Linked DNA regions of Mus musculus: all the other regions are reported to be linked to region 4. The links are microRNA targets in miRTarBase. Many come from high-throughput screens and were not tested one by one. Region 4 holds a microRNA gene; each other region holds the end of a gene's coding sequence.

Region 1 (4,065 bases), not on the chromosome of region 4:
TGACCCTAAAAATTCCAACAGAGAACTCCTAAACCTGATAAACAGCTTCGGTGAAGTAGCTGGATATAAAATTAACTCAAACAAGTCAATGGCCTTTCTCTACACAAAGAATAAACAGGCTGAGAAAGAAATTAGGGAAACAACACCCTTCTCAATAGCCACAAATAATATAAAATATCTCGGCGTGACTCTAACGAAGGAAGTGAAAGATCTGTATGATAAAAACTTCAAGTCCCTGAAGAAAGAAATTAAAGAAGATCTCAGAAGATGGAAAGATCTCCCATGCTCATGGATTGGCAGGACCAACATTGTAAAAATGGCTATCTTGCCAAAAGCAATCTACAGATTCAATGCAATCCCCATTAAAATTCCAACTCAATTCTTCAACGAATTAGAAGGAGCAATTTGCAAATTCATCTGGAATAACAAAAAACCGAGGATAGCCAAAACTCTTCTCAAGGATAAAAGAACCTCTGGTGGAATCACCATGCCTGACCTAAAGCTTTACTACAGAGCAATTGTGATAAAAACTGCATGGTACTGGTATAGAGACAGACAAGTGGACCAATGGAATAGAATTGAAGACCCAGAAATGAACCCACACACCTATGGTCACTTGATCTTCGACAAGGGAGCCAAAACCATCCAGTGGAAGAAAGACAGCATTTTCAACAATTGGTGCTGGCACAACTGGTTGTTATCATGTAGAAGAATGCGAATCGATCCATACTTATCTCCTTGTACTAAGGTCAAATCTAAGTGGATCAAGGAACTTCACATAAAACCAGAGACACTGAAACTTATAGAGGAGAAAGTGGGGAAAAGCCTTGAAGATATGGGCACAGGGGAAAAATTCCTGAACAGAACAGCAATGGCTTGTACTGTAAGATCGAGAATTGACAAATGGGACCTAATGAAACTCCAAAGTTTCTGCAAGGCAAAAGACACTGTCTATAAGACAAAAAGACCACCAACAGACTGGGAAAGGATCTTTACATATCCTAAATCAGATAGGGGACTAATATCCAACATATATAAAGAACTTAAGAAGGTGGACCTCAGAAAATCAAATAACCCCCTTAAAAAATGGGGCTCAGAACTGAACAAAGAATTCTCACCTGAGGAATACCGAATGGCAGAGAAGCACCTGAAAAAATGTTCAACATCCTTAATCATCAGGGAAATGCAAATCAAAACAACCCTGAGATTCCACCTCACACCAGTGAGAATGGCTAAGATCAAAAATTCAGGTGACAGCAGATGCTGGCGAGGATGTGGAGAAAGAGGAACACTCCTCCATTGTTGGTGGGATTGCAGGCTTGTACAACCACTCTGGAAATCAGTCTGGCGGTTCCTCAGAAAATTGGACATAGTACTACCGGAGGATCCAGCAATACCTCTCCTGGGCATATATCCAGAAGAAGCCCCAACTGGTAAGAAGGACACATGCTCCACTATGTTCATAGCAGCCTTATTTATAATAGCCAGAAACTGGAAAGAACCCAGATGCCCCTCAACAGAGGAATGGATACAGAAAATGTGGTACATCTACACAATGGAGTACTACTCAGCTATTAAAAAGAATGAATTTATGAAATTCCTAGCCAAATGGATGGACCTGGAGAGCATCATCCTGAGTGAGGTAACACAATCACAAAGGAACTCACACAATATGTACTCACTGATAAGTGGATACTAGCCCAAAACCTAGGATACCCACGATATAAGATACAATTTCCTAAACACATGAAACTCAAGAAAAATGAAGACTGAAGTGTGGACACTATGCCCCTCCTTAGAAGTGGGAACAAAACACCCATGGAAGGAGTTACAGAAACAAAGTATGGAGCTGAGATGAAAGGATGGACCATGTAGAGACTGCCATATCCAGGTATCCAGGGATCCACCCCATAATCAGCTTCCAAATGCTGACACCATTGCATACACTAGCAAGATTTTACTGAAAGGACCCAGATGTAGCTGTCTCTTGTGAGACTAAGCCGGGGCCTAGCAAACACAGAAGTGGATGCTCACAGTCAGCTAATGGATGGATCACAGGGCTCCCAATGGAGGAGCTAGAGAAAGTACCCAAGGAGCTAAAGGGATCTTCAACCCTATAGGTGGAACAACATTATGAACTAACCAGTACCCCTGAGCTCTTGACTCTAGCTGCATATGTATCAAAAGATGGCCTAGTCGGCCATCACTGGAAAGAGAGGCCCATTGGACACGCAGACTTTGTGTGCCCCGGTACAGGGGAACGCCAGGGCCAAAGGGGGGGAGTGGGTGGGTAGGGGAGTGGGGGTGGGTGGGTAAGGGGGACTTTTGGTATAGCATTGGAAATGTAAATGAGCTAAATACCTAATAAAAAATGGAAAAAAAAAAAACAAAAAAAAAAAAAACAAAAAAAATAAAAAATAAAAAAATAAAAAAGAGAGCAGGGGAGGGGCGTGGCATTCATTATACTTAGCCATGAGATAAATACCAACCCAAGCTACTTTTTCTTACCCTTATCAGAACATGTCTCTAACATGAGACAAAAATGTCAGTGTGCATTTGAGTAAACAGAAATTCTTTATTCATTGTTAGTTGAAATGCGACCTAGTATGGTCATTGTGGAAATCAGTATGGTGGTCTCACAACAAGAACAAAACAACACACACACACACACACACACAAACCCCCAGAAAACTAGAACTGTTTATGAACTAGCTTCCTACTCCAGGGCACACAAAGGATTCTATCTTTTACAAGAGAAACCTGCACATCCATGTCAATTGTTCCTCTATTCACAATAGCAAAGAAATGGAATCAGCCCAGATGTTTATCAATCAACTGATGGTTGTATAATGACAATGTGGAATCATACACAATAAAATTCTTTTCAGATGTACACCATGAAATTTGTATAAAAATACATGGGGTTAGAAAGTAAAGACCTTAAGGGAAAAAGATGTTAAGAAAGGAGGAGGGGACATTGACAGATGAGACATGGAAGTGGAAAGTAAGCTATGGGGTGTGAAAGAGAACAAAGGGGGTCAAAAGTATGGGGAAGAAAAATAAACATTTTTTTTTCTTAAAATGCCATAAGGAAACCTAATCCTACATACGCTAACTAAACATAATTTATAACTCTTTTTATGGCTTACTTTTAACTTAAATAGGTCAGTGTTTAGAAAGGTGATTTCTAGCAGGGCATGGTGGTTACTCCCGTAACCCCAGCACTTGGGAGGCAGAGGCGGGTGGTTCTCTATGAGCTCGAGGCCAGCCTGGTCTACAGCCAAGTCCAGGACAGCCAGGGCTCTGGTTATACTGAGAAATTGTCTTGGAGTTGGGGGCAGGGAGGTAACTTCTATAAAGCATCTAAATTTGAATCATTCTCAAGAAGATTTGTATACTAAGAGCAACCCAATAGATCAGCCTGCTTACAGGGGTCTCCTTACTTTGTTTGTTAGAGTATTTAGAACAACTAGGTCACATGGGTATATCATATGGGCTTTATTTTTTTTAAACATACATAAATAGTAAGTATGAAAAAAATAGGATTCAAAGTGAGAGTTTAAATTTACTAAGTGTGTTTTGGAGAAGGTCCATATTCATTTTATTTTCTTGAACGCTTATATTCTGAAAGCATCACAATTAGCCTATTACGCAAGGTCTTAATCTTGTTGGAATACTGTTGTTCAAGTAATTTCTTCATATTCTGTCTCAGAAAATCCAAAGATGGAAGATTATGACAATCCGGTATATTCAACATGATGTGAAAAAATTCCTCCCACATATCCAAATGAGGAAGCCTAATAAAGAGACAAAATATTACAATGGATAAAATGCAACCTTAACGTTCATAGCAACGAGTTCCTCCATCTACTTTGTATAGGTGTGGACATGTTAAAAAAACAACTGTCATCTACCTGTATCTTAGCAAATCAAGAATCCATCACAAACAGGAGAAATTAAAAATCCAACGACATGTCTAAATACACCTTATTCTAAAAATATGATTTAAAATAGCCTTTTTGCAATAGTTCTTTGGTAGAAAAATTATTTTTTAAAGAATAATCT
Region 2 (4,068 bases), not on the chromosome of region 4:
TTCAGGTCCTCAGAGCAGTCAGAGCTCTTAACTGTTGAGCCATCTCTCCAGTTCTGATTCATTTTTAAAAGTTGGTTTGAGTATAGGGTGAGATATGGATCAAGTTTTATTCTTCTGCAGATCAATATCCACTTTCCCGGCACATTTATTGAGCAAACTCTTTCCTCTCATATATATTTTTGAACCTTTGTTATGTTGGCTGGAACCATATGGGTATATTTCTGGGTCCTCTATAGAAATCCACTGATTTTCATGTCTGGTTTTGTGCCGTATAGTTTTGTTACTGTGGTCTATGGTATATTTTTAACTCAGAGATTGCAGTACTTCCAGAACCAAGATTTCTACTAAGACTGTTTTGGCTTTTTGTTGTTTCTGTTGTTCTTTCTTGTGGTCTTATACTGATTTTAGGATTGCTCTTTCAGACTCTCTAAAGAATGTCACTGGAATTTTTTTTTATAAGGATTGCACTGACAAGCCTTTTTATAATATTAGTTCTAGGGGCTAGTGAGATGGCTCAGTGGTTAAGAGCACTGGCTGTTCTTCTGAAGGTTCAAATTCCAACAACCACATGGTGGCTCACAACCATCCATGAGATCTGACTTGAAGACAGCTACAGTGTACTTACATATAATGATAAATAAATCTTTAAAAAAATATTGATTCTGCTACCCTATCAGCATAGGGGATTTTCCTGTCTTGAGTCTTCAAATTCTTTCCTCTTGTGTTGTAAAATTTTCATCGCAATGTTCTATCCTTAAGTTTATTCCTAGAAACTTTATGTTTTGTTTGTTTGTTTATATTTATGTGTATGACTGCTTTGTCTGTACCACATGCATGCCTGGTGCCTGAGGAAGTGATGTGGGTGCTAGGAAATCAAACCCTGGGTACTTCGCAAGAACAAGAGCTCCCCTCTGGGAGTTGGTGCTTTTCTTACAGCTTTCACATTGTTTCTTTATTTTATAGTCTTGGTTTTAGTGGTATTCAGACATACATGAAAACAAAACCATCATGTACATAAAAATAAACAACTGAAAAATTAAAAGACAGACATGCAGAGGCAGGTAGAGCTCTTGAGTTTGAGGCCAGCCCGGTCTACAGAGTGAGTTCTAGGACAGCTAGGGCTACACAGAGAAACCCTATGTCAAAAAAATAAATAAATAAATAAATAAATAAAAAGAAAGGAAAAAAGAACAAACCCAAAATAAACAAAGAAGAAAGGTGAGAAGAGTAGAGGAGGGGAGGGGAGGGGAGAGGAGGGGAAGGGAGGGGAGGAGAGAAGGGAAAAGGGAGGGGAGAGGAGAGGGGAGGGGAGAAGAGAAGAGAAGAGACGAGACGAGACGAGACGAGAAGAGACAAGAAGAGAAGAGAAGAGAAGAGAAGAGAAGAGAAGAGAAGAGAAGAGAAGAGAAGAGAAGAGAAGAGATTTATTCTAGGCTCCTGTCTGCAAGCATTACCAAGTATCATTAACAGTGTCAGGGATTGGTTCTTGCCCATGGGATGGGTCTCAACTTGGGCCAGTTATTGGTTGGCCATTCTCTCAGTCTCTGTTCCATCTTTGTGCCTGCACTTTGTTTCATATCACCCACTGCCAGGAGTCTCAGCTAGAGTCATCCTCATAGACTCCTGGATCCCAGGTCTCTCGTATGTCCTAGAGGTGCCCCCACCCTCAGGCTGTCAATTTCCATTTATTCTCCTTGTCCTCTCTCCTCATCTCTCCCCATACCTGGTCCTCTAAGAGGCTCCACCCAGCATCTAAATGAAATGGATGCAGAGACCCTCAGCCAAACATTGGACAGAGCTTGGGGAGTCTTATGGAAGAGTGTGGGGGGGGGGGAGAATTGAGGGACATAGAGGGGATAGGAACTCCATAAAAAGACCAACAGAGTCAACCAACCTAAGTCCTGGGGGCTCCCAGAGACTGAATCACCAACCAAAGGACATACATGGTGGTCCTTACCCCCTACATACACACACACACACACACACACACACACACACACACACACACCCCACTGCTCTACCACAAGTGTGGTTGGAATTACCTTTTTTTTCCACATAAGAATTCCAGAGACAGTTATCATTTTTTAATAAGTAAATAACCGTTATAACTATAAATAAATAACCATAAATAACCATTTTAAAACTATACTAATTTAGCATATTGTGAAGGATGGGCGCTGTGAGCCACTGCATGTGTGGAGTCTGAGGATAACCTGCAGGGATCAGCTTGCCCTGCTATGTACCATGTGGGGGATCCAGGGCTGAACTCAGGTTGTCAGGCTTGGCAGCAAAGTGCTTCTGCTTACCTCGCCATCCTGCCAGCCCTAGACTGGGAAGTTTTTATTACAAGGAAATCTGGGGACACAATTTTCAGTACTCTTAAAATAATTTCTAAAATGATTCTCAGAATAAATACTAAATGACTTGGGTTGTCCCTAAATGTTTTCCTTGCTAAAAATAATACCAATTAGGATTAAGACTGACATTTTTTTCTACCTGGATATGAATATATTCCTTTATTAACAATACCTAAGAATCGTGTAGACTCAAGTGGTTCAAAACTTACATGTATATATTTATAGAGAGAATATACAGAAAAAGACTGAATATGTTAATGATTATCTGAATAGTGGATTTCTAAGTAACTTTGGTTTCTTTTATATAATCTGTATTTTGTATATTTTTCTATAAGAACATGTTAGCTTTAGAATAAAAAGGACTTTATCCATTTATTCTACTACATATATACTAGTAAGTTCTGTCCAAGGAGATGTGAAGAAACCTGACTTACCGAGCAGCAGTGCAAAGGACAGTGCTGTGTCCACCTTTCCTCTCGTGCTTCTTTATTTAGCTTTTTATTATCAGTAGTTTTAGCTGTAAAATGGTGGGGCGATGCACGGGTTCCAGTCTGTCAGAAGAATCCACTGTGGGAGCTGTGCTCAGCACGCAGACTTTTGGGTTTTTTATGTTTTTTTGTTTTTTACTCAGTTGTGTGTTTTTTATGCATACAGATAATCTCAGGAATGGTTTCCAGCCTCTTGTAAAACTTGTTACTTTCACAAGCAAAATATCTGCCTGTCACACAAGCATCTGCAATTGCCTATCTTAATGTATAGCACACCTTAAAGAGCACATTTTCGCATGCACTTATTCAGTACATTATTTTAAGTAATGAAACTTGTTTGTATCAGGGACTTTAGAGTAAAGAAAAACATTAAGAATAAGTACAAAAAGATTCTGAATTTACAATAGAAACACCCTTGCCCAGATTTGTTGTCGTTGTTAATGAGATTTATCCTTTGATTTCTCTTTCTCCTTTTTTTTCTGTTTTTCTTCTGCTTGTTTTTCTAAATAGTCTTTAAGAAGATGGTCCAGCTGTGGTTCACACTGGCTTGCATGCTGCAATCCGTCTTCCCTTCCTGAAAAGATACAGAACACGGGAATCGTTCCTTACCAAAAGGGGCTTCCACATTACTGTCCCCTCTGGCATCTCCCAAGGGGCCATGGGCCCAGTGATTCCTTACAAATCGCCCCTGAGTCAGTTTTAATTGCATTTTTTTTTTACCTTCACAGTGTTGGATCACACGCCCCCATAGTCGATTTTTCCTCAAACAGGACAAACTTCCTACAATCAATAAGTGTCTCCTTCCTCTGGTCAAAGCAACGTTCATTCGTTTCTCTGAGTCAATGAACCCTACTTGTCTTGTCCTCACGCAGGACAGAATAGTGATTTCCTTCTCGGCACCCTGAAAGGCATCCACTGTGGACACCTGCACAGCTTTAACATCAGGATGGCCGACGTCCACAGCACTGAGTAAATTGCAAATCTGCAGACAAACAAACAGGGTCAGAAAATGCAGAAATCAGGAAAAACTCCATCTCTAAACTGGGCAGTTCAACCATTCAGGAGTAAATTCAGGAATATTTTTCTTTCTTTCTTATGACTCACATGGATTTAGGTAGAAAGTATCTAAAATTGGAAATGACAATATTATTTGTGATGAATAATCAAAAGTGATTAACCTATTGCAGGGATTTTACTGGTATATGCTAATTTGAGCAGATAAG
Region 3 (4,068 bases), not on the chromosome of region 4:
TTACAGCCTTATTGCTATGATCTCTCCCCCTCCCTCTACTCCTTAGCCCCTCCCCCTTCATAGCATGTATATGTATATCCTCAAAGGATTTATTACATATACATTTTATTTAGAAAGCCCAAACTCAACCAAAAATAGAATAATGCCATATTTTAATTAGGTATTCTTAAATCATGGGAAAATATAGCCCCCCCCCAAAAAAAAGGAATTAAAAAATCCCACACTTTGGTCTTCCTTCCTACTGAGCTTCAAGTGGTCTGTGATTTGTATCCTGGTTATTTGGAGCTTTTGGGCTAGTATCCACTTATCAGTGAGTGCATACCATGTGTGTTCTTTTGCAATTGTGTTAACTCACTCAGGATGATATTTTCTAGTTCTATCCATTTGTCAAAAATTTCATGAATTCATTGTTTTTAATTGCTAAGTAGTACTCAATTGTGTAAATGTACCATATTTTTTTTATACATTCCTCTTTTGAGGGACATCTGGGTTCTTTCCAGCTTCTGGTTACTATACAGGCTTCTATGAACATAGTGGAGAATGTGTTCTTATTGAATGTTGGAGCATCTTCTGGGTATATGCCCAGGAGTGGTATGGCTGGGTCCCCAGGTAATACTATGTCCAGTTTTCTGAGGAACCACCAAACTGATTTCCAGAGTGGTTGTACCAGCTTGCAATCCCACCAACAATGGAGGAGTGTTTCTCTTTCTCCATATCCTCACCAGCATCTGCTGTCACTTGAGTTTTTGATCGTTAAAATAGTTATTTGGTTCTCTGAAGTCTAACTTCTTGAGTTCTTTGTATATATTGGATATTAGCCCTGTATCAGATATAGGAGAACAAAATACTCACAGGAACAAATATGGAGATAATGTGTAGAGCAGAGACTGAAGGTAAGGTCACCCAGAGACTGTCCCACCTGGGGATTTATCCTGTATACAGTTACCAAACTCAGACATTATTATGGATGCCAAGAAGTGCATGCTGAAAGGAGCCTGATATGGCTGTCTCCTGAGAGGCCCTGCCATAGCCTTACAAATACAGAGGCAGATGTTAGCAGCCAACCATTGGACTGAGCATGGGGTCCCTAATAGAGGAGTTAGAGAAGGGACTGAAGGAGTTGAAGGGGTTTGCAACCCTATAGGAAGAACAACAATATCAACCAACCAGACCCCCCCCCCCCAGATCTCCCAGGGACTAAGCCATCAACAAAGGAGTCCACATGGTTCCAGCTGCATATGTAGCAGAGGTTGGCCTTGTCATGAATCAATGGGAGGAGAGGTCCTTGGTCTTATGAAGGCTCAATAGATGCCCCAGTATAGGGGAAATGAGAGCAGGGAGGTGGAGTGGGTGGGTGGATGGAGGAACACCCTCATAGAAGCAGTGGGAGAGAGGATGTGATAGATTGTTTCTGGGAGAGAGGGAAACCAGGAAAGGGGATAACATTTGAAATGTAAATAAAGAAAATATCCAATAAAAAATAATTTAAAAAACCTACTAGAAAACTTGGAAGAAATGCCTTTTTAATTGGTATAAACATTATGTTATTACATTTAGAAAGCAATAATTCCAGTGTTTCTAGAAAGACTTGGCATCTCTAAAAATAGTTATATGAACTTCATAAAAAGAGATATATTTTCTGCTTTCAGATCTTATGAGTTGTTATGATTAGTACAGCCAAGTTTGAACACAAGGAACTATAATAAAACATTCTTTTACTATTAAAATAATTCTCCCAAAGTCTATATTAAAGCTTTACAGATTTCAGGGAAGGTGTAGTCTGTGAAACTGTGCCAAAGGTACACACAGTTGTGAGTGATATGTTGCTGTGAAACCCTCTTGGATGAAAATAATAAACTTTGGATATGAGAACACTTAATTTATTGGATGTCAGTGCCTCCTGCCTGTTTGTCTTCCTAAGCTCTTGGATTGAGACCTAACTGTGATGATCCTACTCTGTTCTTTGAAGCTCAGCTCCTGTAAACAGAGAGAAGGGATTAGTGTAGTGAATATTTGGCTTTGAGTTAATTGAATGTCTAATTTCCAGTGGTGTTGAACTTGGCTGGATACCCGTGTGGTTATAATATGCAAAGCCTCTGAAAACACATGGGTTCTCAAATAATGGCATGCTTTTTCCCCTGATTTTTTCCCCAAATGGTATTTTTGTTCTTTCCCTTACTGTCTACTTCAAATAAATTTTATACAGTTTTATAATTCCTTCAACATATGGCTACTGCCTCCCAGCTCCTCGTGTGCATTGGCAAGCAGCCACGTGCACCACTGAAGAGTGATTTCCTGGATGAGTTTTCAAGAATCCTCCTTTATCCACATTTCTACCTGTGTTCAACTTCTTAACATAGAGTTAGATTAGACCGTCCTCTCTTTATGCACCTTCTGTCTCCCTCCTTCCCACCTCTCCCTGTTCTGTTAGTACAGTTTTCTTTGAGCCTAGGCAGAGCATTTTATGCTGCCAGTGTTATTAGAGGTTTTTGCGAACAATGAGAGTATAAAACTTGTTTGGGTAATCCCAAGTGCTTCTTGCTTTTGACATCTATGGAGTCCTTGCCTGTTATTTTTGAATTATGAGTAGGAGGCCCCCCCCCCCTTTTAAAAATTTTGTACTTCTGCCTGTTCAAAAATTCTTAGAGCAGAAAATGTGTTAGCTTTGTAAGCCTTGTTACTCCTATTGAGAGCTCGTATGTATTTCCGTTTTGGAAAAATACATTTTACTTAACATTAATTGAGATGTGGGCCAGGCACACACATTGACGCAAAGGAGGAAATTTGGAAGGAATAGATGCTTTGAGATAAAGACAATGTCAGAGACAACAAAAAGTGTTTTCTTGAGATATCAGTAGTCAAAGAGGCTGAGACCTCTAAGCTGAGGATACTCAACCTCTCAAATCTTACTTAGGTGCTTTCTCTATTTCCAACCACCTTCTCACAGGTAGCCAGGAGGCGGCTGCCTCAACCCAGGAGGTGATGCTGGGAAGTTGGGAGGAAGTTGGCTGAGAAGATCAGAAGCACCTGTTTGTGTTTTTTCCCCTTTCTGTTAAAAGCCTCTTGTGGTCCTCTTTGTGTCCAGGCATTGTAGCACATGTGCTATTTCTGATCCATAGAGCTTTAATCTACTGTAGTCCAGAGTGTAAGTAAGATAGAAAAATTTTTACAAGCATATCTTGCAATAGAGAAAAATCTGTTAGGAGCAAAATATACTTGTGTGATGACTTTATATGCACGTATGAAAATACATGTGTATGTGTATACATAAATGTATTTATGTGTATTGTGTATACACATAAGTACACTGTATATTATGCTATTTAAATGGAACCTGGATATCCATTATAGATCTTATTGGGTTATTTGTGGAAATAAATGTAATATTTCAGTGTATTTATTTGTTATAGTGGGAGTCCTTAAATACAAAATCTTACTGCTAACAAACTGGATTAAGGCACCAATGTAATGGGAAAGTAATGTATATTTGCTATTGATGTGTTTGGCTGCCAAATCACAGAGAATTTCCATATTAGTTATAAATTGCAAACAGCAGCAAAGACTGGAAGTGTTCTGTACAACTTTAAAAATGTCTTGACTCTAACTCTTCCTAGTCCTAGAAGTTTCTTTCACAGACTTTCTTCTGTGAGGAAGATGCAGTCAGGTGAGCAGCCAGAAGAATCAACAAGGCTTAGTCTACTCCATTCAGACAAGCATCGGGCTCTCTGGGGAGTCCAGTGGAAGGGCCTACGGGGATGTCTGTGACTTCTGGTGGGGGCTGCTCCCTAGACTCACAGCCGGGCACCACAGCAGAATCTCCCTCACTCTCTGGAGATGGTGAAATATCATATTTTGCCTCTACTACAGATAGGGAGCCCTGGGCTGGGGACAGTGGGGCCTGACCAGAAGTGTTTGCCTCTGGTTTATGGGGCTTCGGACCCGGGGTATTTTCTGCAGGGAGACCCTGACTTTGTAGCTCTGCCTCTGCAGGGGTACAGGAGGCTGTAGGGGCAGGTGTGGCCTCACAGACGCCCTCCGCCACAGCCTGAGCACCTACAGGGGGCCGAG
Region 4 (4,068 bases):
TATGGAAATCTAGTGCAGTAAAAACTAACTATATGAAGGCAATCCAAATGAAGTCTCCAAATAATGAGGGAGTCAGAACTCTTAATTGCCATGTCTTGTCACTAAATGAAGCTTCCAGTGCTGGGACTGGGTATAATCCAGTTGAGCTGTTAGCTAAAAAGGTCCCATGGAAATCACCAAACAACTCAGGCTGTTACTCAGACAATTGGTTGCTCTCCACAAATTGACAAGGGCTCATTGCTGAAGACAATACCTACACAACTCATTGAAAATGGAAAGATCAATCTGATGCCTACATAGGACCTTTGCTCCCATTTTATAATGCCTATGACATAGGAAAGTATTCTGCAGGGTACCAAAAGAGAAAAGCAAACAGCAACTCAACCACAAATCCTTAGATCTACAATGGTGACACAAACTCTGTGGGGGTAATCAGCCTATGTCTGATTTGACGTAAGGCCTATTACATAGCCATACCCAAACCCAACACTGATTGTGTCATCAAGAACCAGAGTCTAGATATCATAGAAACCTAGAGTATAACCAAATATCACTGGTCAAAAAAATTAGTAACAATAACATGACTTCTAATGATATTCTGCTATAGTCACAGTTCAGTGCCTTTCAGTCATCACCACAAGGGCTTTTTCCTACAGCAGATGGCAATAAATGCAAAGAGCCAAATCTCTCTCTCTCTCTCTCTCTCTCTCTCTCTCTCTCTCTCACACACACACACACACACACACACACACACACACACACACACACACAGAGCGAGAGAGAGAGAAGAGAGAGAGAGAGAGCACTAAACCAGATATCTCCATAAAATCCCTCCCCTGAGAGCTTAGAGAACCCCTCAGAAGAGGAGGCAGAGGAATAGGGGAATCAGAAGAGAGAGTGGACACCAGGAGAACAAGGTTCTCTAAAACAACTGGGCAAATTTCATATGAACTCACAGAAATTAAAGCAGCAATCAATCACAAGGCCTACATGGGTCTGCACCAGGTCTTGTGCATGCATATATATATATGTGTGTGTGTATATATATATACATATATATACATACATACACATGTATATGTATATATACATACACACACATATATATATTCATGTATATATATATATATGTATATTCATGTATATATATGAATGTAATGAGGCCTTGTTGTCAGTTTGTGGAGAGCAACCTACTGTCTTGGTAACAGCCTGGGTTGTTAGGGATTTCCATGATACTCTTTCAGTTGACAACTCAATTGGATGATATCTAGTCCCAGCATTTTGCGGGGGAATATATATAATATATATAAATATATAACTTTTATATATTTATAAATATATAAATAAATACATGCACATATGCATATATATAAATAAAAGTTTTCAGTTTAGTACTTTTATGAAATTTATGAATATGTAAACAAGTGGGTCTCTGATTCTTGTGCCTTCTCTTGGGCCTCTTTCATTTTTTTCTGTTGGCTTAGCTTGTCCAACTTCAATATGATAGTTTTCATTTTATCTTATTATATTTTGTTTTGTTATGTTTTGTTATCTCCCAGAAGCCTGTTCTTTTCTAATGAGAGACAAACAGGGAGTAGTATATCTGGATGGAGAAGAGTGGGGAACAAGTGGGAGGAGCAGAGGGAAGGGAACTGTATTCAACTGTATTTAAATTATACTGTATGAGAAAAGAATCTGTTTAATAAAAGTAAGGAAAGAAGCCAGAGATAGTGGCACAAGCCTTTAATCCCAGCAGTCAGAAGGCAGAGACAGAGTTCCAGGCCAGCCTGGTCGACAGTGTAAGTTCCAGGACAGCCAGGGCTACACAGAGAAACCCTGTCTCAAAATAACAATAAAGGCAGGGGAGAGATGTCTATTAGATGTGTGTGGTAGTGCTCACCTTTAATCCCATAGATCACCATGCCCAGCTTCCCCTGACCCCCCAAAATCTTGTTTTGTTTTGTTTTTTTAATTAAACTTAGAGCTAATTGTTGTTTTCCAACAGGAAGACTGAATTGTTGTGTTTGTTTATAAAGTATCAGAGTGATAATTAGCTTTATTAAGTGCTATTTTAGGGGCAGGAAAGATGGCTCAATGGGTAAAAGTGCTTGCCTTCAAGCCTGACTAATTGAATTTTGTGAAAGCAGAGAACTGACCCACTTGAATTGTTGTCTGACTTTTACATGCACTCCCTTAGGTACTCATATGTACAGATACATGCACATAATAATAAATAAATGTAATATAAATATTTTTTAAATTAATGTTTTAATGTAGCATTATTGTTATGGCTTAATGAGGTTCATACACTTAAAGTAAATTAAAAGCTAAGTCTTCCCTCTAGGTTCTAAGCCCTAGGACACCTAGAAGGTATGGATAAGGTCCACCAAAGTCATCTTTCACTTACCCATGTAGCCAACAGTACCAACTCTTCCTCGTACCATCTCCCCTTCTGGGACTTCCATAGCTAGACCAAGATCTGAAATTCGGATGTGTCCTGTGCAGGTTCACACACAAAGTACAGATCATTGGGAAAAGTAACATTTTAGTGACAATTTATAACTGCGAGGCAAAGTCCATCTAAAACGTATTGATGAGGGCTGGGGATATACCTCAGTAATAAAACCCTTGTATATGATATATAAGGCTTGTGATTCTATCCCTAGTGATAAAAACACACAAAAATGTATTAAAAATAGCAATATCTAAAAATTATATTTAACTTTTACATATGTAATGTACTTTCATATAGCACACTGAGTTTCACTAACAGCAAGAAATTATATTTATACCTAAAGAAGCCCTTTAACAGTAAATCACCACTAGATAAAAACCAGAGGAACCATATTTATTATTTACTCATAACTATCAGTTAAGCTACTTCACTTAGAGAACTGTACTGTTCAAATGTTTTGGGTATAGGAAGGCATAAATGTTGGCTACAGTCCTATGAAAGTAACTAATTATGGAAAGTGTTCTTCTAAGGACCCCTATCATAGGATTTAGACTTACCCTCATAAGACACCTAGTAAACTACTCAATGTATTTCAATATAATTTGTTCACTTCCCTTCAATGCCAACTCTAGATACCAGTGCAGCATAACCCAGCACAAATCACAAGTTTAAGAGTTGGAAGCAGTCAAATTACTTCTTAATTATTCCATAAATGAAATTTCAAGCACCTTTCTTCTTCATTGGGGTCAGTACATAAGTTAGGTAACGAGCAGAAAGCAGTGGCAGAAGTAAATATAAAAGCTAAGTCTGATAATGTCCCATGTTTGCCTTCAGTAATGAGCTACACTAGCCTATTCTTTCCAGGAATCACTCTGGCTCTGGTTTATGTTTCCTACTCCACAGAAAGATCCTTTTAGCTATTAAGAATCACTAATCATAAGCTCCTTCTCAAATTGCTAACCTACTTAGTGTACATACAACCAGCATCCTAGCAATAGGGCTCACTCTCAGATCCAGAGATACCAATGTCAGAGGCACCCATGATGCTGATAAGGAGCTATCACATCATGACCAGTCCCCATAACAGCATTCTACACCCCCACTCTGTGACAATTGATATATGATAAGGGGACAGCATAGAGGGCAGCACGCCAAGTTTAGAGGGCTAAGGAATAAAAATAAATAGAGTCAATAGCAAAAAACAGGAGGGCAAATACTCATTTGGGGTTTATTTTCACCTACTTCAAAACATTAATCATTAATATATGGAGTCTCTGCTTTTGTGTAAGTACTGGTGATGGCAATGTCAATTGGTTTTTGTGTGTGTGTGTGTGTGTGTGTGTGTGTGTGTGTGTGTGTTTTAAAGAACACATCCCAAAGAGTTTCTTTTAGTTATTGTTTCCAGTCTGCGTTATTAACTGACTATGTCCACATTAGCTTTTCTGACAAGCCTACACTTAAGCATGGAAGGCTCTCTTACCATGATCATCAAGGAGGATATTCTCTGGCTTTAGGTCTCTACAAGGAAAGAAACAACAAAAATCTGTTATTCAGAAATCAGTTCCTGAGAACTGAGAAGAAACAGCCAGCGATCTCTTGATGGCAAAAAGCAG
Region 5 (4,068 bases), not on the chromosome of region 4:
CCCAGCCACCCACCAGCTGCTCTAAGCCTAGACTCACCAGGGCTCTAGGGGTACAAGATTTGATAAGACAAACACCTTTCGCCTTCTTTCTTCCTCTCAGCCCCTCAAAACCCAGTGCCCTCCAGGCTCCCATAGCTGTCTGAAACACCTTAACCAGCAACGCTTTATCTCTGAACATCTGTCACCGCAGCATCAAGCTCCCTGAGAGCACAGACAGGTCTTATTCCTCTGTTCATGCCCAGTACGGTGCCTGGCAGACCACTGGTGCTAGGTGAGTAGTTCATGAATAAAGTAACAGTTACCACGTTACCACAGGGTCAAAGAAGGACTGGCATTCACACCCACCGGCACATGGGAAATACACGTGCTTACTCCTAAGCAGTGTGGGGGATCCCCTGGCCTTTCATCATCCACTAGAAGTCAGCATGCTTCCACCTGCAGGGTTACTAAATCACTTCTGGCACCGTGGTACCCTTTGCCACGATAAGGAATTAGTTAAGGAGCTTTAGGCTGAGAACGTAGCTCAGTGACAGGTCCTGAGTTCCAGCCCTAGCACAATGAAACAAACCACACACACACACACACACACACACACACACACACGCATGCATGGCATGGCATACAATTTCCAAGTCAAGAATGAAAGGTTGGAAGTGCCTCAAGGAGGAGCTACGCAGGTCTGTCTTTTGGGGTAAGAGATTTATTAAGAGAATTATCAGTACCACAGACACACAGGCACAGCGGCACAGTGTACAGTAGCGGGAACATTCAAGCCCCAGTGTCATAGACACACAGACAACATGGTAGGGTTCTGAAGAGGATCCAAGTTCCCCAGGGTAGAGTGGGGGGCCCCTTCCTATAGATCTCAGTAGAAGGGGGAGGTTTCACATCACCAGACTGTCTCTGATTCCCCTGCAGGCGGCAGGGGAGAAGAAAAAAGGTCTTGCGTTATCAGGAAGAAATATGTCCCTCTGAAGAGCAAGGACACATCTAGTTGAGACATACCCATTATGGCAGCGCCCCCCCCCCCCCCCCCGTCCAGGGAGTCTGACAACCTAAGGTCTATTCGATGGGATGAGCCTGTTACAGGGTTAGGAATTTACAGGTTTGAGATTCCTACCATAGAAGGAGGTTGTCTGGCTTGAACAAGGCCATAGGTCTGATTCTTAACATTGTAACAATAACAGAGGAAAGTTCTTTTTTATGGGGAAAATGGAAAATAATTAATTTGGAAGGAATAATAGAATCAGAAACCAATACTTTGCAATCCTCAATTTAAGAAATGATTTGGCTAGGCTGGAGAGATGGCTCAGCAGATAAGAGCACAGGGTGCTCTTCCATAGGTCCTGAGTTCAATTCCCAGCAACCACATGGTTGCTCACAACCATTTATATATAATCTGATGTCCTCTTCTGTCATGCAGGCATATATACAAATAGAGCACTCATATACATAAAATACCTAAGTTTGAGGCTGGAGAGATGGCTCAGTGGTTAAGAGCACTGTCTGCTCTTCCAGAGGTCCTGAGTTCAATTCCCAGCACCAATGTAATGGCCCATAACCATCTATAGTGTGATCTGAGGTCCTCTTCTGGCATACAGGTGTACATGCAGATAGAGCAATTGTAGACATAAGTAAATGTTTAAAAATACAAATGTAAATTTTAAAAGTAATTTGGGAAAGAATCACTAGTAGGTGCTAAAGTCACTGGTCAAATGATTATCAGGCGATGGGACATTTGGTCTCATGGTCTCAAGCCAAGATAATGAACTCCTTAATTTCAAAGGAAAGATGCAGCTGTGCACTATTACCCTCGGGGCTGGAGAGATGGCTCAACAGTTAAGGGCACTTATTTGATCTGGCAGAGGACCCACATTCAATAACCAGCACCCACATTGTGGCTCACAACCATCCGCAAGCCCAGTTCCAGGGGATCCAACAGGCACACGCATGGTGTGCACATTCAAAGGCATGCACACAAAATACTTAAATAGTAAGAAAGATAAATCTAAATTAAAAAAATAATAATACTGAACCTGATAGGGTTGGGGATTTAGATAGTGGTGTTTGCCTCAGCGCATGAAGTCCAGAACCACAGAAAAATGGGTGTGGTGGTGCATGCCCGTGATCTCAGCACTCGGGAGGCAGAAGCAGGGGGTCCGATGCTAAACACTGTCCTCAGCCACACAGTGAGTTTGCAGTGTCGGGTACATATGGCACTGTCTCAGGGGGAAAAAAAACCCCACAATCTTTTACATTCAAAATAGAAGCTGGAGAAATAGCTTAGCAGGAGAGAGTGCTCCCTGCTCTTCCAGAGGACCAGAGTGTGGTGCTCAGAAAAGATGGCTCACATTCATTCCTCTGTAACTCTGTCTCCAGAAGATACAACACTCTACTCTGGCCTCCATGGCTGCACGCACACACGCGCGCGCGCGCGCGCGCGCGCGCACACACACACACACACACACTTTAATAAAATGTGGGCAGTATTGGTGCAAGCCTTTAATCCCTACATTCGGAAGGCAAAGAAAGGCAAGCAGATCTCTGAGTTCTAGACAAGCCTGGTCTACAGTGTGAGCTCCAGGACCAAGGCCACACAGAGAGACCCCATCTTGAAAATCCAAATAAATAATAAAAATGAAAATAATGTTTAAAACTTTGAACCTGAATTCAACCCTTAGGAAATAATGAGACATACATAGAGTATAGGTTACATTTCTGTACAACAAGTGGCCTTGGATAAAAATATTTTTTTTAGATTTATTTCTTTTTATTTTATGCATATGAGTGTTTTGCCTAGATGAATATCTATGCACCACACAGGTGTCTGGTACACGAAGAGGTGAAAAGAAGGTGCCGGATCCCCTGGAATGAGAGTTACTGATGGTTGTGAGCTGCCACATGGCTGCTGGGACTTGAACCCTGGTTCTCTAGAAGAGCAAACCACCAAGCCATCTCTCCAGCCCTTCAAATGGTTTTGTAAACATCTTGTTCCTATATTTCTTCTGTGTAAGGTACCTGGAGGGGATTTAGTTCTACTGAACCATACAAGCTAGGGCTTCTCTCTAGAATGAGGCTTCTCTGATAGATACAATTCCCTGTAGAAAGATTTTGTGTTATTTGGTGTCCAAAAAAGTCAACAAAAGCCAGTGGCGGGGGGTGGGAGTGGGGTGGTGAGGACATCCTAGGCAGGGAACACTTGCTGACCTGTGACTCCTGGGATGCTGTGAGGGATACCAGTCCCCAGAACAGAGGCAGCCGTCCATCCAACTGACCACATCCATTCCCATGGGGGTGTCAGAGCCAAGCAATAGCACCTCAGAGCAGAGATGGCACCTACCGGCAGATGCCCACCATCTGGCCCAGCCCTCTAAGTCCAACTGGTGCTTCCTCATGATACAAGGATGTCTGGTCATCCTCCTGACACGGGTGAGGAAGGCCTGTGCTGCCAGGCCTCTTGGAGTTGAGGTAGGAGGGTCAATAACAGGGAGTCCAGCACAGCTAGGCCCTCCCAGGAACACCGGAGACCCCTGGAAAACCGAGAGGTCTGGATATGACTCTAACTTTACCATAAAGGCCCATTCCTGCCCACCCCTGGCAGCCCATGCCCTCCTCTATTGGTCTTTCTTGTTTCTACCACTCTGAAAAGGAGGGGAACATTTAGTTGTGACACACTCATTATGGCAGTCCTCCCACGCCCCAATCTGTAGTCAAGAGCTCCCAGGGTCTGTGAAGCCCCCTCCGCACAATATTCCCAACATACCTGTAATCCAGCAGCAGCAGACCCTGAGCTAGCAGCTCCTCCACCTCCTTGCTTGCTCCAAACACGTCCCACAGGGTCAGCTGGGGCTCAAACTGCTGCCAGTGCTAGGAATCAGAAGTCAGTGCAATGAGCTGGCCGACACACACACACACACACACACACACACACATACACACACACACACACACACTTGGATTTAATGTGAATAATAGCTCAGTGGTAGAGCACCTGCCCAGCACAGAGCTCTACGTGCAATCTTTAACTGGCATACAGCACTACCCACTGCCTCTGTCACCAGACTTCAG
Region 6 (4,068 bases), not on the chromosome of region 4:
CTGCCACGTGCGTTCCTGGGTCAGCCTGGGCTTGGTGCACATCACCAATGCAATGTTAGCTTTCCTCTGCTTTCTGGGCACTTTCCTGGTACAGAGCCAGCCTGGCCGCTACAACCGTGCCCGTGGTCTCACCTTCGCCATGCTAGCTTATTTCATCACCTGGGTCTCTTTTGTGCCCCTCCTGGCCAATGTGCAGGTGGCCTACCAGCCAGCTGTGCAGATGGGTGCTATCCTAGTCTGTGCCCTGGGCATCCTGGTCACCTTCCACCTGCCCAAGTGCTATGTGCTTCTTTGGCTGCCAAAGCTCAACACCCAGGAGTTCTTCCTGGGAAGGAATGCCAAGAAAGCAGCAGATGAGAACAGTGGCGGTGGTGAGGCAGCTCAGGGACACAATGAATGACCACTGACCCGTGACCTTCCCTTTAGGGAACCTAGCCCTACCAGAAATCTCCTAAGCCAACAAGCCCCGAATAGTACCTCAGCCTGAGACGTGAGACACTTAACTATAGACTTGGACTCCACTGACCTTAGCCTCACAGTGACCCCTTCCCCAAACCCCCAAGGCCTGCAGTGCACAAGATGGACCCTATGAGCCCACCTATCCTTTCAAAGCAAGATTATCCTTGATCCTATTATGCCCACCTAAGGCCTGCCCAGGTGACCCACAAAAGGTTCTTTGGGACTTCATAGCCATACTTTGAATTCAGAAATTCCCCAGGCAGACCATGGGAGACCAGAAGGTACTGCTTGCCTGAACATGCCCAGCCCTGAGCCCTCACTCAGCACCCTGTCCAGGCGTCCCAGGAATAGAAGGCTGGGCATGTATGTGTGTGTGTGTGTGTGTGTGTGTGTGTGTGTGTGTGTGTGTATGTACGTATGTATGTATGTATCAGGACAGAACAAGAAAGACATCAGGCAGAGGACACTCAGGAGGTAGGCAACATCCAGCCTTCTCCATCCCTAGCTGAGCCCTAGCCTGTAGGAGAGAACCAGGTCGCCGCCAGCACCTTGGACAGATCACACACAGGGTGCGGGTCAGCACCACGGCCAGCGCCAGCCACGCGGGACCCCTGGAATCAGCTTCTAGTACCAAGGACAGAAAAGTTGCCGCAAGGCCCCTTACTGGCCAGCACCAGGGACAGAGCCACATGCCTAAGCGGCAAGGGACAAGAGCATCGTCCATCTGCAGGCAGGATCAGACCCGGGTCAGTTCTGGACTGGCCCCCACACCTGAATCCCGGAGCAGCTCAGCTGGAGAAAAGAGAAACAAGCCACACATCAGTCCCATAAAATTAAACGCTTTTTTTAGTGTTTAAAATAGCATTTACACAGAAGCAGCATTTACACAGAAGCAGCTCTATGTCAACTACCCAGTCACTCAGACTTTGACACAGTGTCTAGTGTAGATGTGTGGGGCCGCTGTGCCGGGATGGCAGTGGCACATGATGATGGGCAGCCACCAGAACAGAAACAGAACAGGGCCCAGCTCTGCAGCTCTTGTGTTCACTGTCACCCACCACTGAGACTGAGACAGTGGCTAGGTGCCAGGTCTCTCTCCTGTCTCTCCTACTAGCTACCCTTCACATACCTTCAGTACAAACTGTGTTGTCATGTGCCAAGTAGCAGGTGGGGAAAGGGGCATGCAAACTGCCCCTTTGGGTAACTAGCTGCCACCCTTAGAGCAGGCAGGCTAGCAATAAATAAATAAGTTAGACCCCACCTGGGCAGCCAGAGAGGTTTGAAGGCTCTGTCTAACCCCTCAAAAATCCCACCTTGGCCTGACAGGTGAGGCCCATGAACTTAGCGACAGTCAGCCTGTGTCCCTGTGCACAGTTCTGTGAGGCTTTGGGGCAAGGGGTACCAAGAGCCCAAGAGAGCCTTTCTTGTTCTAAATGGAGGTCACTTCCAAAGAAGGGAACCAGGAGGTGGTCCCTGAGACTTGTGCTGAGGACTTAAAGTCAGAGATGTCTCCTTACAAGACTCTATAGATACTTGAGCTGTACCACCATCAGCAGCCCCAAGAGCAGACAAAATGTCAAGCCAATATCCTGGTGGTATGGCTGCCCTCAGGCCCTCCTCTGTAGCCTGCTCCCTCTGCCCTGGCCCAGAGCCCACAGCTGATCTATCCTGGCTGGCCACCACCACGGCCAGCGCAGAGCTCCTGGCACAGCAGGAGCACAGACTCAGCCACAGGCAGCGCTGAAGACATTGGTTGATCATCACATGATGTCCACAAAGAACTCACAGGGGTTTCCCATGGCCTTTTGGAAGGACTGGCGGCTACCTGTAAGTTCTGGAGGGACAGCAGCCAGCTCCCGGACGGGTGGCCCTCCAGGTGGCCCACCCACTACTGCATAGGCCTTTGTAAGGGGGTGCAGTGGGGGGAGCCCTGGGGCAACAGCTGAAGCCTGACTTCGAGGGCTACTGCCACGGCTAAGCTGGCTGACAGGCCGCTCCCACCAGCCGGTGCTACCAGACCCACTTGGTACTGTGTGGTCTGATTCACTGCCACTACCCCCAGCTCCAGTTGCCCGGCGCTCCTCTCGGCCTGGGGTCCGATGGCTGCTCCGTGTGGACCCACTGCTCTTGCTCCCTAGGGGGAGGGAAGGGGACAACAGAGTCAGCACGAGGCCTGGCCACTTCCAGGGCCACCAGCTGCTCCCAGACAGTCAGGGCAGGACCTGGTAAGCCTGGAGATGGTAGGGGAATGGCAGCCATGCAGATACCAGGAACAGCTGAGAGGCGAGAAGCTAGGGGCAGTGGCAGACAGCAGGGACAACAGGGGCCAGCCTGGCACCCCACACCTAACCCCAATGCTTGAACCAAGGGTTAATGTTACAGCTGAGAAACTAAAAACCAGCGAAGGCCCTGTGTGCCCAGCATTCCCATTAGCCATCCTGGGTTCACCACCCAAAGACCCAACCAGGGTCCACCCAACCCCAGGACCCTGGTCATCTAATTTGCTTAGCCCCTGTCCTGAAAGTAGTGGGAACCTGAAAACACGTGCTGGCTGGGGACATGCTGAGAGGGACACAGGGGGACCTGGCTTACCGGCCCGAGAGTCCACTCTGCTAGTCCTTCAGTCTAAGGCTTGCTCAGCACAAAGCAAGGGATAGCACAAGTCACACACCAGTCCAGTGCTCACCAATGGCTAATAGGACGATTTTGGGCCAAGCTGAGCCTGGGTACATGCAAGGGCCTGTCCATGGTCAGGATTCACTCGATAGCTTCCCCTTGGGCTTTGCCACCCTCTGGCCCAACCTCTCCTGAGTCTTTCTCTGGACCTTGTAGCACAAGTGTGCCCCACTCTGCCTAAGACCTCCACATCAGTCCATCTCCTCCTGAGGGACACCCACCCTTCAAGATCTTCAATATCCCTGGGATATGCTTTAACACTGATATGCTTTAACAGTGTTGCTTGATACTCTTATCTGGCACTCTGTTGGGATGCAGGCTCCATAACTGATAAAGCCCATTCTCCCCCTAGCTTGGGGCCTAGAGAGTGCCCCTACCTGCTATCAGTGGTTACTTTCATTCTTGCCATATCATCTCCTGGCCTCTTGCCTCTGCCACCTAGCACACCAGGCTGTCTTCCTATTCTCTAACGGCTTCTACCCACATCAGCCCCTCCCTGTCCCACACACTGACTCTTGAGATGGAACCCACCGGGACTCAAACACACAGCAGGAGCACAGAGGGAAGCGTCGGGGCCAGGCAGAGCGTGGGAGTGGGAGGGAGTGGGAGGAGGGGTGGCACGCCTCTCACCTTCACTCTGCTGGCTCCCAGCACTGCCGCTGCCGCAGCTGAAGCCAGGGTCCTGGTAAGCAGGCGGGAAGCAGGGCGGGGGTCCTGGGTACTGGTAGGGGTAGCCTTGACCCAAGGGCCAGGGTACTGATGGGTGGGGCAGTGGGGCCAGTGTGTCCTGATCTGAGGCTCCACTGGAGCCACTGTTGAGGTTCAGGGATGCGAGGTCTGGCAGGGAGGGAGGGAGGGAGGGGTAAGTGAAGGCAAATGAATGAGGCCACAGCAACCCTACCCAACCGCACCCCTACTCACTACTGCACAGGT
Region 7 (4,068 bases), not on the chromosome of region 4:
AAAACTAGACGGCTTCTGACAGTTCATTTTTTATTACACAGCAGATGTATGAACTAACCAGAGACTAGGACGACTACCTCTTTTAAACAGGAATTCTTTCTACAAAAGGTACTGAAATGGCCTGTCAGATTATTTAGGAATTAGTTCAGGGCAAAGTGGAAATGATATGAAGTTATTTCTCAGAAGTTAGTCAGGACCCCCTGTAACAAGGGCGATTGCTAGCACCGTTTGAGAACATTTATTATTACTAGAAGGTAACAAAGGAAGAGAAGAGCAGCCCTAAGAATTTTCCATTCATGTTTTCAGATAGTAATGACAGAGTAGCTTCTCAAAGGCTTTTGTGGAGCTTAAGTTCTTGATAAGTAGAAATATTTTCTGTATGTCCAGGAAATGTAAACTGTGCACTTTTGGGATGGGTGCCTGTTTTAACAGCTGGGGCTGCTTTTAGCAGATAGAATACGAGATTTTACAAGTTTCTGAAAACACAGCCTTGACTGGCCAGTTGCCTCTACAATGTTTACAAAAGTCTCAGGAGAATCTACTAGTGTATTCCTTAGTCAACTTTGCTCACTCATAAACCAAGGGAGACTTTATTATCTTCCTGAAGGATTTGTGAGGCAGGAGGGGACAATCTCAACTTCAATTTTGAGGTAGGTAAAATACATGACTTTCCAGAATATAACATCCGTTGACCTTTATGGCCACACCATACCTCACAAACTAAGGGACATACAATCCCTAACATAGAATTGTTTTTTGTTTTTTTTTTAAAAAAAAAAAAACACTGTCAAGATCAGTTTAACTCATGATCTCTGAGAAGTTCTACCCTCAATGAATCATCACTCTTCATTTTTTTTTCTAGAATCCTGGGATTATGTCAATAACAAGAATTAGCACATTATACTTCATAGACATTAATTTCATCTTTCATGTACATTATGAATACAGAGAAACAACTCATCTATTTTCAATGGTCACATGCCATACCAATTGTGTAAATGTTTCCTGAAAAAAATATTATTTACAAGTGTTAAATAATTTTCACAAATGGAGGCAAGGATTTGTTTGTCTTTGTAAACTTGGAAGAGTTAATTTATGGAACTCTGTGTCACCCTATGGTACAAGACTAATTTTATTAAGAAGATGAACAAATTTATTATAAATTTATATTCTTACTAACCCCAGCAGGAAACACCTTGAATTGAAACATATATGGTAGTTTCCAGCCTAAGTAGAAAAGGTATCAATAGGACACCATATTGGAATTTTAACTTTTTAAAACTATTAAGACCAATTTGACATGTGTCCTTTTGACTATCTTGCAAGACTACCTGGAAGCAAGACATATCCTGCCCTGTCAATGGCCCAGATAAAGCTAATCAGAAACCAAACAGCAACATAAAACAAATGTGGGGACATGGACTGAAGATTCTAGGGCCAACAAGGCAGCCAGGGAGAACATGTGGACATTGTCAGACCTGAGTCTTAGTGCTCCTCGCCCGCTAAGCTTTGTGTTTACAGTCTGTGTAGATGCCAGCTGCCCGAAGTGCTTTACTGCTCCTCCACACCCCACTCACAAAGACAGCTAAATATTCTGTGGGCTTCACACCTCCCACACGACCCCGTGGCTCAGAAAACAGGAGTCAGTGTTTGTACACCAAAAATGCTAATTGCCTTTCTTTATATGATTCTTTTATCTTTGCAGCTTTCCTACACCCCTAAAGAGCCTGTACTTTAAACGATCAGGACGGTAGTGGCTAGAAATACCTGTCTAGACTGCTCAGTATCTACATACCGCGAAAAGTTGTATGTTACCATGCATATTTCAAGTTAACTATGTCTTCCTCTAATTTCCACCTACATTGTCTAAAATGTCAAACTAAAGAGAACATATTAGATGATTCTTATTCTCTCCATTTTGATATGAGATGCATGTTAACTTAGGAAAAAAGTTGACAACATTTCTGGAAATGTTGTTAGTGATGATGAACAGATGGCCACCCAGAAATCAAAGTGATAGGTGACTACTTACTGTGCACAAATATGGTGACGAGGGAGTCCTACTTTTGGGACACAGTGAAAATCCTTGACCTAATACAAAGCTTAAGGTGAAATTCAGAGTAGAATAATTATCATAAAAATAGACCAGTTTTAACTAGCTGCAGACATCCCAAAAATCTTTTTAAAAACAAGCAACCTCTACAAACCAAGTAGGCGTTCCTAGATGTTAGACTACTACACTGTCCTCCACAGCTTCAAGCACGATGTCAAAGCTGATGGTCTAGCTAGCTCTGGTGGCCATTTGGGCTACACAGTGAAGACTGCAAGTTCAGGGCTTTGTTTTTATAGAAACTTCACTTCTAAGAAAAAAATTTTTTTTTTCTTTTTCAAACTTTTAAAAAGAGCAGTTAAACCCAGTAATTAATTAATAAATGCTATGTATAGTTTTCAGCTAGGATTTAATTCCTCTTTGTTTTGAAACAGTAACTGATTTTCAGCTGAACCTGAAGAAATGTTGGATACAAACTTGTAAGTATCCTTTGATATTCGTCTATTCACATTCTGTGTCAAAGCTGAAATGTACTTAGAGCATAGTACCCAGACTAAAGCAGATATGAGATATGTTTATAACCTACAAAGTTACAAGAGAGATTCCAGTTCAAGCTGACAGAACATACACTAGACTTAAAGCACTGCATTAAGAACACCACAAATACCACCTTTGGGTAACTACGATGGACGTTCTATTTGGAAGACAAGACTACAGAGAACGAAGACTGCACGGTGCTTACTTGCTCACCGCTCACTTGCTGCTTTTCTTTCTAAGGTGCTCTTCGTCACAGTGTGGCAGCTGTATCTTTGTGACTAGAAGCCAACTCTTAGGCTAACTAAAGAAATTCAGAGTTTTGTTTAAAATACTTTAAACACCTGTAATAAACTGCGGAATTTGCCAAGAATAGAGGTACTCTGGTTAGCAATCCAAAGGGTTTAAATATGAATGCAATCCATAAGAACAGTAACAACAACAAAAATAGAACAAGTTTTTTTCTCAATAAAAATAGGCCAGTCGCTAGAAGGTACCATTCTGTGAAGACATTATTTTGAAGCCCTAGTCAAAGGAGCCTTGGAATTTGCCACTGGGTTTCTACTTCGTGCCCGAAGAACCTTATGAAAAGCAGTCCTGACACAACAGAATGACATTTGCAGAATGTAATACTGGAGTGAGAGAACTGAGGTTGATGGATACAATCACATTCCTGTGTATTGAACTGTTACATCTTAATTATTCATTCAGCTCATTGGTCCAATAGCATAAAAATAGAGAACAGCATCTTGAAGTTTATCTCATTCCATGTTCAGAGACAAATGGCTTAACCATTCTTCCCATTATTTTCTGGAGGCAAGTCCTTGTTTACAGTCTGATAGCAAGCACATGCTGGTAGTTTCCAAAGCTACTGTATGAAGAGGATGCTGAAGGCCATCACTATACAGCATATGGCGACATAAGGACTCTTGCGTTCCCCTGTTGAAGAAAAGAAGACATTCCTCTTGGTTGAACGAATGACTACTATGGATATGATAAGGCTATAAGAGAGGAAAAACAAGGACCCAGAGACAACAAGCAAGAAGGTACATTAAAACTTCAGCTCAAGGAAATAAACTTAAGGGATCTAACCCAAATCCAAACCTATTCTTATGATGTACTGTATTCATGTGAGTGATCATGCCACAGTGCACATGTGGAGGTTAGAGGACAACTTCAGAGTGGGTTCTTTCTTTCTGACTTGATATGAATTTTGGATACTTAACTCAAGATTATTAGGCTAGTGCCTCTTCCTGCTGAACTTTGCTGCCACATCATGAGATATTATTATTATTCTAACTCTACTTTGTAGTTTGCAAGTGTGTACTATGTAGATGTCAATGTCATGTCTCAATGTAAAAGGGCTGGATGGACATGGCTAGCGACTAAATCCAAGCTATTTATGAGATGTGTACCGGAGAGCACCTATGCTGTGCCTCCAGGGCCAAAGGCTAGTTAGTTCTCTTCCTGAGATAAAGGGAATT

What was found. Region 4 holds the annotated microRNA mmu-miR-467g (UAUACAUACACACACAUAUAU, at 1,086-1,106, shown strand). A microRNA usually pairs through its seed, bases 2 to 8, with sites in the 3' UTR of a target mRNA and lowers its output. Matches are read on the target gene's strand: a 7mer-m8 pairs with bases 2 to 8, a 7mer-A1 pairs with bases 2 to 7 and ends in A, and an 8mer does both.
Region 1: miRTarBase lists Bub1 as a target of mmu-miR-467g. Seed matches in the 3' UTR shown: 7mer-m8 at 3,514-3,520.
Region 2: miRTarBase lists Zgrf1 as a target of mmu-miR-467g. The part of its 3' UTR that is shown has no 7-base or 8-base seed match.
Region 3: the mRNA of Txlnb is a reported target of mmu-miR-467g. Seed matches in the 3' UTR shown: 8mer at 3,263-3,270.
Region 5: miRTarBase lists Rsad1 as a target of mmu-miR-467g. Seed matches in the 3' UTR shown: 7mer-m8 at 2,695-2,701 and 8mer at 1,448-1,455.
Region 6: miRTarBase lists Tas1r3 as a target of mmu-miR-467g. Seed matches in the 3' UTR shown: 7mer-m8 at 876-882, 7mer-m8 at 880-886 and 7mer-m8 at 884-890.
Region 7: the mRNA of Tmem167 is a reported target of mmu-miR-467g. The part of its 3' UTR that is shown has no 7-base or 8-base seed match.

Annotation. Positions count from the first base shown.
Region 1 is chr2:127,797,642-127,801,706 of GRCm38, forward strand. Bub1 (BUB1, mitotic checkpoint serine/threonine kinase) reads right to left here. Exons shown (of 25, transcript NM_009772.2): 25 at 2,559-3,797. The coding sequence ends at 3,602. Among named protein-coding and RNA genes, the nearest start is that of Mtln, 7.2 kb to the left of the region's middle.
Region 2 is chr3:127,616,018-127,620,085 of GRCm38, reverse strand. Zgrf1 (zinc finger, GRF-type containing 1) reads right to left here. Exons shown (of 26, transcript NM_197997.2): 25 at 3,566-3,827; 26 at 2,063-3,419. The coding sequence ends at 3,283. Among named protein-coding and RNA genes, the nearest start is that of Gm40147, 11 kb to the left of the region's middle.
Region 3 is chr10:17,843,104-17,847,171 of GRCm38, reverse strand. It overlaps Txlnb (taxilin beta), which reads right to left. Exons shown (of 10, transcript NM_138628.3): 10 at 1,509-4,068. The coding sequence ends at 3,692. Among named protein-coding and RNA genes, the nearest start is that of Gm20655, 9.5 kb to the right of the region's middle.
Region 4 is chr5:34,729,910-34,733,977 of GRCm38, reverse strand. Mir467g (microRNA 467g) reads left to right here and starts at 1,006; the gene lies at 1,006-1,125. Grk4 (G protein-coupled receptor kinase 4) reads right to left here. Exons shown (of 16, transcript NM_019497.2): 10 at 3,936-3,973; 11 at 2,408-2,497.
Region 5 is chr11:94,539,118-94,543,185 of GRCm38, forward strand. Rsad1 (radical S-adenosyl methionine domain containing 1) reads right to left here. Exons shown (of 9, transcript NM_001013381.2): 8 at 3,764-3,867; 9 at 681-3,530. The coding sequence ends at 3,413. Among named protein-coding and RNA genes, the nearest start is that of Rsad1, 8.1 kb to the right of the region's middle.
Region 6 is chr4:155,856,518-155,860,585 of GRCm38, reverse strand. It overlaps Tas1r3 (taste receptor, type 1, member 3), which reads left to right. Exons shown (of 6, transcript NM_031872.2): 6 at 1-1,318. The coding sequence ends at 400. Dvl1 (dishevelled segment polarity protein 1) reads right to left here. Exons shown (of 15, transcript NM_010091.5): 13 at 4,057-4,068; 14 at 3,766-3,972; 15 at 1,283-2,593. The coding sequence ends at 2,220. Among named protein-coding and RNA genes, the nearest start is that of Tas1r3, 4.8 kb to the left of the region's middle.
Region 7 is chr13:90,103,830-90,107,897 of GRCm38, reverse strand. Tmem167 (transmembrane protein 167) reads right to left here. Exons shown (of 4, transcript NM_025335.3): 4 at 1-3,523. The coding sequence ends at 3,453. Among named protein-coding and RNA genes, the nearest start is that of Gm24507, 6.9 kb to the right of the region's middle.